Linked DNA regions of Arabidopsis thaliana. The protein of the gene in region 2 interacts with the protein of the main gene of each other region in a pairwise test. Each region holds a gene or a part of one and is shown on either strand. Other genes may lie near its edges.

Region 1 (5,924 bases), about 15 Mb from region 2:
GGTTGTCTATGTATTGATTTTGGGTTTTTGATTTTGATATTAGTTGCGGTGAGCAATAAGGAAGTTAAAGAGGAGAGGAGTGTTAATCGTAGTCAAAAGCCTCATCATGAGAGTTCAGATAAGGTGCGTAGAGAAGAGGATAACAATGGTGGGAATAATCTTCTTCATCATGAGAGTTTTATGGAGTCACCTTCAAATAGCTCTGTTGGTGGTACATATTCGAGCACTAACTTCAGTGGGAGAAGTAGCAGGAGTAGTAGTAGCAGCAGTGGCTTTTGCTCTGGTAATATAACAGAAGAGGAAAATGTAGACGATGATGATGATGGGTGTGTGGATGATTGGGAAGCTGTTGCTGATGCGTTAGCGGCTGAGGAAGAGATTGAGAAAAAGAGTCGTCCTCTTGAGTCTGTGAAAGAGCAAGTGAGTGTTGGACAATCAGCTTCTAATGTGTGTGATTCGTCGATTAGTGATGCATCAGATGTTGTGGGTGTTGAAGATCCAAAGCAGGAATGCTTGAGAGTGTCATCAAGGAAGCAGACTAGTAATAGAGCTTGGAGGCTAGATGATGACCTTCGCCCACAGGGGTTACCTAATTTGGCGAAGCAGCTTAGTTTTCCGGAGTTAGACAAGCGTTTTAGCTCTGTGGCGATTCCGTCTTCATGTCCCATATGCTACGAAGACTTGGACTTGACGGATTCGAATTTCCTCCCCTGTCCTTGTGGATTTCGGCTCTGTCTGTTCTGCCACAAGACCATTTGCGATGGAGATGGGCGTTGTCCAGGCTGCAGGAAACCCTATGAACGGAATATGGTCAAGGCTGAGACTAGTATTCAAGGTGGTGGTCTAACAATTCGGTTGGCTCGTTCGTCTAGCATGTTTTGCAAGTTTTAAAAGGAGAGGTGCGGTTTTCTCAACCATGTTGTCTTTTGGAACTCGAGAACTTAAGCTCTGTTTTCTATGTCATCTATGGTTCTAAGTCTGAAACACTGTGGTGATGATGTAGAATGTGATGTGTGAATACATAAAAGGTGGTACAGAAAATGATTCAAATACATTTAGATAGTTTCAATAATGAATGCTATGTTCTCTTTTCTAATTCCATATGTTTGGTCTGCATTTATTCCTTGTCAAACATTATTGAAGGTTTAAGAGTTATTTTGTTGCTATGGTGAATCCTCTTGACAAGTTACTCATGAACCAAAGCTTGTTTTTTAGAATCACCATTCACCAGAGATCAACTCTCATTACTTCAAATTCTTTTAGGAAACTTCTGATTGTTTATGATTAGCTAACAAAATCATTTATTCACATAAAGTGAGGCTTCTTAACAACTTCTATTAAGCCAGCTTACAAATCTCTTGTAAGGAAAAAAGCTATGACCCCTCTAATGAATATAATATATAATATAGCTTTTGCTCATCTCTATACCATTTACATTACTACTATATGAATAAACCCACTGAATTCAATCAGCGAAAAAGGCCATAGGGGTTGGAAAATTGTATAGGTCATTAAGCTGGCGAGAATCATCAGTGTAGGCTCAAGTGCATTGAGTCTTGAAGCTTCTGTATATGAAAAGGCTTTTTCTAAGATCCAGTCACGGAATTTGCATCGGAGAGCTCAGATCTTTGCGCGTTTGAGCTGCGAGTGAACAGGGTAGACATTCTCTGTTTCTAGCTCTCTCTTCTGAATACTCTTTGTGAAAGACAAATCTTCAACCTTCATTAGAGAATCTCTTAATCTTTTTACATCCGAGAGTTTTACCGGCTTCAGTAAGAAATCTTCAGCCCCTTCTTCAAGACATCTGAATGACAAAATAATAATCACAAGAAAATCAGTTTGAGTAAACTCCAATTTCAATAAAGTTGATGATAGCTTTGGATCAATAAGTTTTTTTTTTGTTGTATATGTAGCAAACAATCATAAAATGGCCAGTTCGTAATTGAGTTGGCCATTGTGTGTAACACAAATACATATTCCTTTTTATTTTATTTGGTCTAGAGGTTTCCTAATATTGTATGCAAAGTGAAAAAGCATGTGAGGTGGCTTTCACAATACCCTACCAAATATTAGGCAAGCAAGATCATGTACTTATTTTATTGTAATATCACATCACCAGAAATAGAATCAAATCCCAAAGTAAAGATTTTGCTGGTTAGAAACATCTTTATACACAAAATCATCTTGGGACCCATTAAAGATCACCAAATCTCAACATTTGTTTAATTATGCAATATCCACCACCAAAAATGGTTTAAGGAAATTAACTTTTAACCATATGAGCAGGAACTTTACTTTGTGATCTAATCCCTTTTTGTTTTATCTAATTCTTTTTTTGATCATCTAAGACAAAGATATTCACCAAATTTACTATAGTTTGACTTAAGATTATGATGAAGTTTTATACCTATCAATACGAGGCAAAATGTTCTCGGAGGACATAATTACCACCGGTACTTCTCTAAAAGCTGAGGATTCCTGTGGAAAATCACGTAAAAAAGGATTAGATAAACATAAAACTCAAATTCCATTGACTAATTATATCATTATATGTTTGTTTGCTTACTTTGATCTTCTTCAAGAGTTCATATCCAGTCATACCGGGCATTGAGTAATCAGTCATAATTAAATTAACCTTCAAATCCTGAAGCACAAATCACGATTTAACATATTGCTTGAGAGCTACGGCAAAATTTTGTTTTCTCTTGGAAATTGTTTTATACCTCAAAACCGACTGATTTTTCCTCAACATCCAAACCAAGGTATTGGAGAGCTCTTGTTGCACTATCAACAACAGTAACTGAACAACCAAAACAGAGCTTTTTACTCAGATAACTTGCCCGAATTCAGAGACTGATTTTTCAAAATATGAGTAATAATTACCTTTGCAAGAAGATACTCTGAGCAAACGCTCGATGAATTTACGATCAACGTGACTGTCGTCGACGGCAAGAACATGAAGAGGATCCGGTGATCCAAACTTTGAAGAATGGTTGAGAATCTCCATCTTCCTCGGTAGCATAACTTCAGCCATTGATCAACGAATGTTGGAGGATTTGGAAGAAAAAGGAAGAGAAAGATATGATGTGAAACCATGGTGGCAGTGGTTGGGCCATTTATATAAGTAGAAAGAAAGAAAGAAAGAAATAAAAGAGGGAAAAAATATGAATGAAATCGAGAGATTTTGCATATCTTTAAGATTTTGTCAATTTGCTTTCAAAATCTTTATTTTATATTTTATATAAATAATAGTTCGGTGGATTTTTATTATTAAATAAGTTAAAACAAAAAACCGAAATAAAGTCAAACCAATCGGTTCAAGTTTAGTCAAAACGAAGAACAAACCAGAAAATTTGGAATGGGATGCAAGATTTAACCGACCCAAACCGATATTCAATAACTTGTAGAATTCTTTTTTTATTTTTAAATTATTTGTGTGTGTTTGTAGTTTTTTTTGGTAAAAGTGTGTTTGTAGTTGAATTGTGGAAGTTCACGCATTTAACTTCTACACTTCAATACTTCATCTACGTAGAAGTTCACTTTGAGGTTTTGACTTAAGCTCAAGACAGAAAAATGTGAAATCAAGAAATCATAAACTAATACTAAAACATTACACGCATCCTTAATCTACAATTAGTAAAACCTCTTTAGATTACCACCTTTTCATTCACCAAAAATATAACAAATTAATACTAAAGGCCCGGCCCATATGATTTGGCCCAGAAGAGACTTTAAGTTTCCTAATACAGTTAACGGTTTACTCAGTGAACCGGAGGGAGACAGCGAGATGAGGCCGGAGATAGTTCTGTTCGGCGACTCGATCACGGCGCAGTCTTTTAGGTCCGGCGGTTGGGGATCTGCTCTTGCCGACGCTTACTCTCGCAAGGCTGATGTTGTGGTTCGAGGCTACGGCGGCTACAACACCCGATGGGCTCTCTTCTTGCTTCATCACATCTTCCCTCTCGTCAGTACTTTTTATCTCTCTCTCCCTCCCTCGAGTCTACAAATGTTGATTTGAAATTTGATCTAAACACGAACGAATTTTGGTAGTCATTGGGATGATTTTGTTCATGAGCTGTTGTGATTGTGTGTATGATCTGTGTGGATATAGATCTTGAGTTATTGTCTCTTGTGCATCATTTTTTGTTTTGCTTATGCTTGTTATGGTTCAGTTCTGAATGGTTTTGATATGATTCTAGGATGTGTTGGTTTTATGACATTGTCATGGATTGGTTGAAGTACGAAAGATTTAGATTTGAATTTTGAGATGGTAAAAGGCAATTACATCTGCATATATCATGAGAACTCTTCTTGTAGTGCGTGTTGTTTTGGTGTGCCTATCTCAGTATGTGTTCTACTCTGTCTTTTTGCCTAGGGCTCTTCGTCTCCTCCTGTTGCTACGACGATATTCTTCGGTGCAAACGATGCAGCTCTCAAAGGAAGAACCAGTGATAGACAACATGTGCCGGTGGAAGAGTACACAGATAATGTCAGAAAGATTGTTCAGCATTTGAAGGTTTTGATATGCTTCTTTGATCCACTCTAATGCATGGACTTACTTTTCTTGAAGTGTGATTCCTTTAAAGACTAATGACTCTGTTTTGTAGAAATGTTCACCTACAATGCTAATTGTGCTTATAACTCCACCACCAATTGATGAAGCTGGACGTCAAAGTTATGCAGAGTAGGCTTTATTATGATCCTTTTCTTCTTTGCATTTTTGTTTCTCAAAGCATTTAGTCCGACATGTTTCTTAAATGAGCCAGTGATTGTGTTACATCAGATCAATCTACGGTGAGAAAGCTATGAAAGAGCCTGAGAGAACAAACGAAACAACAGGGGTATATGCACAACATTGTGTTGCATTGGCCGAGGAACTCGGTCTGCGATGTGTCAACTTATGGTCTAAGATGCAGGAAACCAATGATTGGCAGAAAAAGTACCTAAGGTCTGTATCTAAGTCTGATCTGAAATGTTGTTGGTTTTTCACAAACACTCATCTCCTCCTCAATCATGTTTGTTGTTTATAAATGGTTCTTGCTCGTTGTTGTTGGCTATAAGCAGTGATGGGCTCCATCTCACGCCTGAAGGCAATGGGGTAGTTTTTGATGAAGTCTCGAGAGTTTTTAGAGAAGCTTGGCTCTCTCCCGAAGAAATGCCGTTTGATTTCCCCCATCATTCGCATATCGATGGTAAAAACCCATCGAAAGCTTTTGAAGAGCGTTGCTTATAACGATCATCCCCAAATTCATGAGCAGGTTTGTTTTGATTTAAATTCATGAACACGTTTCAATGTTGTGATTTAGAAAACTCTCGGATGTGAATAAATACCTAAAAAGTGCATCATCACTAGAGATCGTTTTCAAGAGAAATGAACTTATGATGTACTTACTATATGTTGTGACTTTTGACTTATGTACCTGCACTAGCTTTCTATCTTCCTTGCTATATATTTCAGTCTGAAAGATTTTTTTTAATCTTCTTTTCAATGTCAAATACTCGTATAATTTGATTGCTTCTCTACTACTAACTAGTTGATGACGGCAAGAAAATATTACAGGGCCTTATACAGATAAATTAAGAGCCCAGTAGAGTTAAATTTGGAATGTGAGCAATTGGGCCTTAACCAAACTTGCCCAATCTCATTAGAATCTAACCAGTTGGTTATGATAAATAAATATGACCGTACCAACGAGATTTGCAATATCTCGTGCATCTACATTCATCCGACGATTTTGGAGTCGAAAAATTGAAGTTATTCAATAGTTTTTGTAATATAGAGCTATATATGTTACCAAAAGTAAATGGGCACTACTTATATATATCAAGAAACATTACACCTCAACCACACGAACACACACAAACGAAATATCTCTCTGAATACTCTAGTCAAGATTACTAATTAAGATTACTCTCGTAAATAA
Region 2 (4,950 bases):
TGGCATTGTGAATTTGCCAGTTTTTAGCACTTCAAAACCATAATAATGGGATTTTTTATAACATACATGTATTGTTTTTTGTAGAATTTATAAAATACATACTTAAAAACAAATACTATATCTTAAAAACAATTGGAACCAAATAAACCCAAACAAAATGTTTAAAATTATGTTTTTATAAATAAGCAAATGACAAATCAGAAATATTTTAGCAAAACTGACAAATTCTACAAATGCCACTAAAAAGGAGGACTTTTTCCTAATTGATCAAAATCCTTATATACATCAATCAATAATGCACTGAAATAAAATAGAATCAATAATTTATAAGGTGGCTAGCTCCTATAGTCCAATCCTAAAGCGACCTAGAAAGTCAAAACAGTGAATCCATATTCAAAACAATAGTAGGCATTTAATGAGAAAGGATGTCAGATGACTTCGCTCATCAAATTTTGGGACTACAAGACCTAACAACGACCAATCTATATATTCTAATTTCAATTAAAATTATCTGGAATTAACTTAGAGAGCATACAGAAACAATTTTTATAGTCAAAACATATCTGTGAGATGGTGTGTTTATTAGTATATATCATAAAGTAATCATACAAGAGACAGAAGATCATACTAATACATAAGTACATATAAGTTTTGACCTTTAAAATATAATTTGATTCATATACAAATCATTGATCATCTACAAAATGTTCCTAAAACCTCAACCATAATCGCATGGAAATAAATGATTATTATATGATCTAAATTCTAACAAAGTGATATTTAAAGATGCCTCCACTAATAAATCATAAAGCATGGTCACATAATACACACGAGCCCTAAGTGTATCAACTATCAAGAATAATCATCGAATCATCTTTCAAATGTTAAAATTGAAAACAAAAGAAAACTCCAAGAACATAATGGATCAAACACTTTATCGTAAATAATCGTAGTTTTTCTTATTCATAAACAACTAGTACAGAAACAAAAGCATCAGTAGATAATGTAAAAGAAGGTTTTACATTAATATCTTAGAGAAAGCAAATAAGAGACAATACATATAGAAAAGGGGAAATTATATAAATATGATCATACTGTTGCACCCGAGTAATTAGCCATCATAGACTGACCTTGTTGTGGCTGCTGTTGCTGTTGCTGAAGCTGTAGAGGCGGCTGCGTTTGCGGTTTCTGCCTGTTGACTCTCTTCCTCTTCTTCTCATAGCTAACACCTCGAGCTTTGGCTTGAAAGTCTCTGACTTCACGGAGGAATAACCTGACGGCGCGTGAGCCAAATGGGTTAGCTTCAGGTGGGCCACCGTTCTCCTCGTAGGCGGCGCGGAGGCGGCCGATAAGAGCGTCGAGTGAGCCCCAAGCTTGCCGGAGAGGACAAGGACAAGGAGCAGGAGGGTTAGGGAGGCCAAAGAAGGCACAGTTCTGGTGGTGAACTTTTGTTTTCCCGAACTGGTCAAGGTAGCGGAGGAACTCGAGCACGTGTGCGCCGCTACACGAGGGGAGAGAGAGCGGAGGACGGTGGTTCCGGAGGTATTGACAGAAAGTGTTCCAGTCACGGCGTTTTTGGTTCTCGTACCGGCTTGAGGAAGGTGGTGTTAGTTGTGTTGAGGAATTAGGGTTCTTGTTTGGTTGGTGAGAGATCAAATCCATGGCTTTTTCTTGTTCTTGATTTTGGAAAAAGCAGCCGGTGAAGCCAAAGCAGATGTCTAGCCGGAGAGAAGAGGATAGTTGAAGAAGATTGAATCTTGATTTAGGGTTTTGTTTTTCTTCTTTAATTTTATATGGATCAAAGAGAGATTAGGGTTCTTTTTTTGTAGATCTTGAGCTAAGATCAATAATTGCAGCAAATGGAGAAAAAGTGAGAAAGAGAGAGAAACTTAGCTGGTTGTGATGATGAGATTGATACTATAAAAGGTATAGATTCATCTTTTTCAGATCAAATCTAACAAACACTTGTGAGCAGAAATGGTGAGGCAAAGAGAGAGAGAGAAGTGAAGTTTATTTGATGCTTATAGAAGATTATAGAAGGGGAGATATATAAGTGGAAGAGATCTTTTTTTCCTTTTTATTGTTTTCTAGCTTTTCTACTTTGGGAGATGATAGAGAGACAATACACAAAAACACACTTGTCAAGACTCAAGAGTGTATAGTAGCTCCAAGAGAGGAGAGAGAGAAGAGAAGAGGACTAAGTGTTTACACATCGTAGAAAAGAGTAACTTCATAGATGAAGAGAGAGAGAAAAGAGAGTGTGACCAATGGTTAAAGTGGGGAACTTGAAGTTGAACATTGACATGACATGAGGAGGGAAGAGTCTGTGTTCTTTGTCTGCAATTTGCAGCGACATTTTTCATTTTTTTTTTATTATAAATATTGATTACTTTCTTTTTCGCATTATTCTTTTATTTTTTGTGGTTAAGGGATTGCATTATTCTTGTTTTCTTACTTCACTTTAATTTTTACTTTGAAAACGACCTGATTAACATATAAATATCTTCTCTTTTTTCCGGCAATCATGGGTTTATATAACTAGGAATACACTACTTTTAAACACAAACGTTTCTTGTGATAAACGGTGGATTATCACAAAACCTCTTTATTGACTATAGGCTTTCAAGTTTTATAAATTAACATGTGTTCAGTATTTAGTATATATTGATGCGTTAGTGTCCGTGCCCCATAAATTAAATTCGTTCTCAGAGACGATTTTATTTACTATAAGTATACGGCTTTGTCTCAATGGTAAAGGCTGCCAATTGAGCAGCATGTAGACATCGTGTTGATTTTGGCAATAACTCCGACTATACTTTTAGCACCAAACTATTTTTAGCATCGAGAGTAAACAAATATTTCACGAAGAATAAATTTTAAATAACTCTATTCTCTTTTTGTCAAAAACATGCATCACAACCCTCGTTAAAAAAAACTGTATAGGTCTAGCGATTAGTCAAAAAAATTGAATTAAAATCGGGTTATTTTAGATTTATTTTAATGTTTTAAAACTTATTAATCCAATATTGTTTTCAAAATTATAGTAAATACATAAAACTATATTTTTAAGACAAAATTTCTGTTTTTTATTTAAATTTTGAACTTAAGTTGTTGTAAAACATTAGAAATTTTCAAACTAAATGATTAATTAGCAAAAAAGAAATTTTTTTTATACTTGCAATCTAAAAGTAATTAGGATATTCAAGATTAGGCGAAAATTAATCAAAAAAAATTGGATTAAGCAAAAATTAATAAAATAACTGATTTTTAAAGGATTAGTTATTATTCGAGGTAGAAAGGGTGGACCTAGCAATTAAACAGGGATTAATCGGATTAGGCTGGGATTTTTAAAAAAGGGATCACAACTATTGTAAGGTAATGCCTTAATGGTAACAGAACGACGATATTATCACAAGTCATATACATTTGTCTAATAAAAACCATTTATTTGAACATTACTAACTGAAATCTTCAAACAATTGCTATTAAAAATTTTAAAAAACTCTTGCGTTGGATAATTAATATTTAGCATCTTTATAACCAACTCTTTCGTTATTGGTTTTTATCAGCGACAAATCGTTAGTCTACAATTTTTTTTGATCGCAAGTGTTTGCCTCTTTTCTAAGATCTCATTTTGTACACATGTTTGTATAACCTTATCTCTTTTTTTCCATACTATGATCACTAAGAATAAAGTATAATCCGGCTTGCCTCTTGATAGAAGCAGCTTGGATAATTTATCTTTAACTACGAAAGCAGTTTGACGTTTCCAAAATTTTAAGAGGGCTAGGGAATTTCAAACTTTTTCGAAATTCTTATCTCTTCAGTTTATATAATTGAAAATTTTAAAGTAAATTTTGGATGAAATTCATGTTTAGTCAGGTTTCTAAATATAATATATATATATATATATATATTTATATCAAATTTATGAATTTGTTCTCTCATATTTATTTTTTCTTTTTTGGGTATATATATGTTCAAGTTAGATTATTTCTTATATTTTCTGTTGATTTTTCCGGTGTGTTCGAAATAACGATAAAACGTAGGATAAGTGATTCGTCTACTAGGTGAAAAACCGAAAAAAAACTCGTTGTGATGTTTGATCGCCTTCTAGAAGAAAAAATGCGATCATAGCATGGTCAAGACAACACATAGAAGGATAAAAATAGGTTTTTCTCTTGATGAATCTCGACGCTTTAGTCATGATGAATATTGTGGTAAAAAAATGTGTTTGAAGAATGTATGGGTGAAAGATAGTGGTACAACTATCTTTTGCACATATTTCTACTGATATAAAGTAAAGATAGAAGGATAATAGCATAGTGACAATGTAGAAAATGCATTATTTGATTGGGATTACATAGAATCCAATTTGTTTGAATATAATTTGTTAAGTTTGATGAATTTACAATTCAAATTCAATGGATAGTTAGTGAACTAGTTAACGGGAAAAACGGCCAAAATCAATCTGTACTATTTGATGGCGGTCTTTTTCAACTCAAACTTTGATTAACGATTGACTAACACTGTCAAAGTCAATGTTGAATTTTGCGTAACATATATAAATTTAGATTTAAAATTAGAATTTAACAATAATTCGGATAGAAAAAGACAAGGGATCGAAATTTGGGTTGGAAAAGGCCACCAGCAAATAATACATGTTGATTTTGGCCGTTTTCCCCTCGTTAATGTTTCTTATATATATAGTATTATTAGTTTTTTCTAAATTTTGATGCGAGATAATTTTATTATAGGATAAGTTTCAATCTAATTTTAGATTGAACTGATTTCACTTGGGATAGGTTTGCATATGTTTGAATTCTGATATCATATTAAATTTTGTGAACATATAATTTTATTTTTTGTATTGTTTTTTCTTCTTCTTATAATCAGGGGTGATCCGGGCTTTTATCACCCGACTAATCCTCCAAAGTGAATGTAACCATT

What was found.
Region 1: the proteins of LSH1 (region 2) and ARR6 interact in a two-hybrid assay, tested with the Arabidopsis thaliana proteins (one large-scale study listed by BioGRID).

What each region holds. Positions count from the first base shown.
Region 1 is NC_003076.8:25,251,125-25,257,048, forward strand, and holds ARR6 (response regulator 6), read right to left. Parts: upstream 3,195-5,924; 5' UTR 3,035-3,194; coding exon 2,884-3,034; intron 2,801-2,883; coding exon 2,724-2,800; intron 2,645-2,723; coding exon 2,567-2,644; intron 2,479-2,566; coding exon 2,408-2,478; intron 1,805-2,407; coding exon 1,621-1,804; 3' UTR 892-1,620; downstream 1-891. Other genes in the region: AT5G62910 (RING/U-box superfamily protein), read left to right, coding at 44-891; AT5G62930 (SGNH hydrolase-type esterase superfamily protein), read left to right, coding at 3,710-3,964, 4,376-4,516, 4,608-4,684, 4,784-4,948, 5,065-5,233. UniProt on the Arabidopsis thaliana protein: Functions as a response regulator involved in His-to-Asp phosphorelay signal transduction system. Phosphorylation of the Asp residue in the receiver domain activates the ability of the protein to promote the transcription of target genes.
Region 2 is NC_003076.8:10,453,452-10,458,401, forward strand, and holds LSH1 (LIGHT-DEPENDENT SHORT HYPOCOTYLS-like protein (DUF640)), read right to left. Parts: upstream 2,231-4,950; 5' UTR 1,663-2,230; coding exon 1,090-1,662; 3' UTR 937-1,089; downstream 1-936. Other genes in the region: AT5G28491 (uncharacterized protein), read right to left, coding at 2,231-2,356. UniProt on the Arabidopsis thaliana protein: Probable transcription regulator that acts as a developmental regulator by promoting cell growth in response to continuous red (cR), far-red (cFR) and blue (cB) light in a phytochrome-dependent manner, at least during seedling development.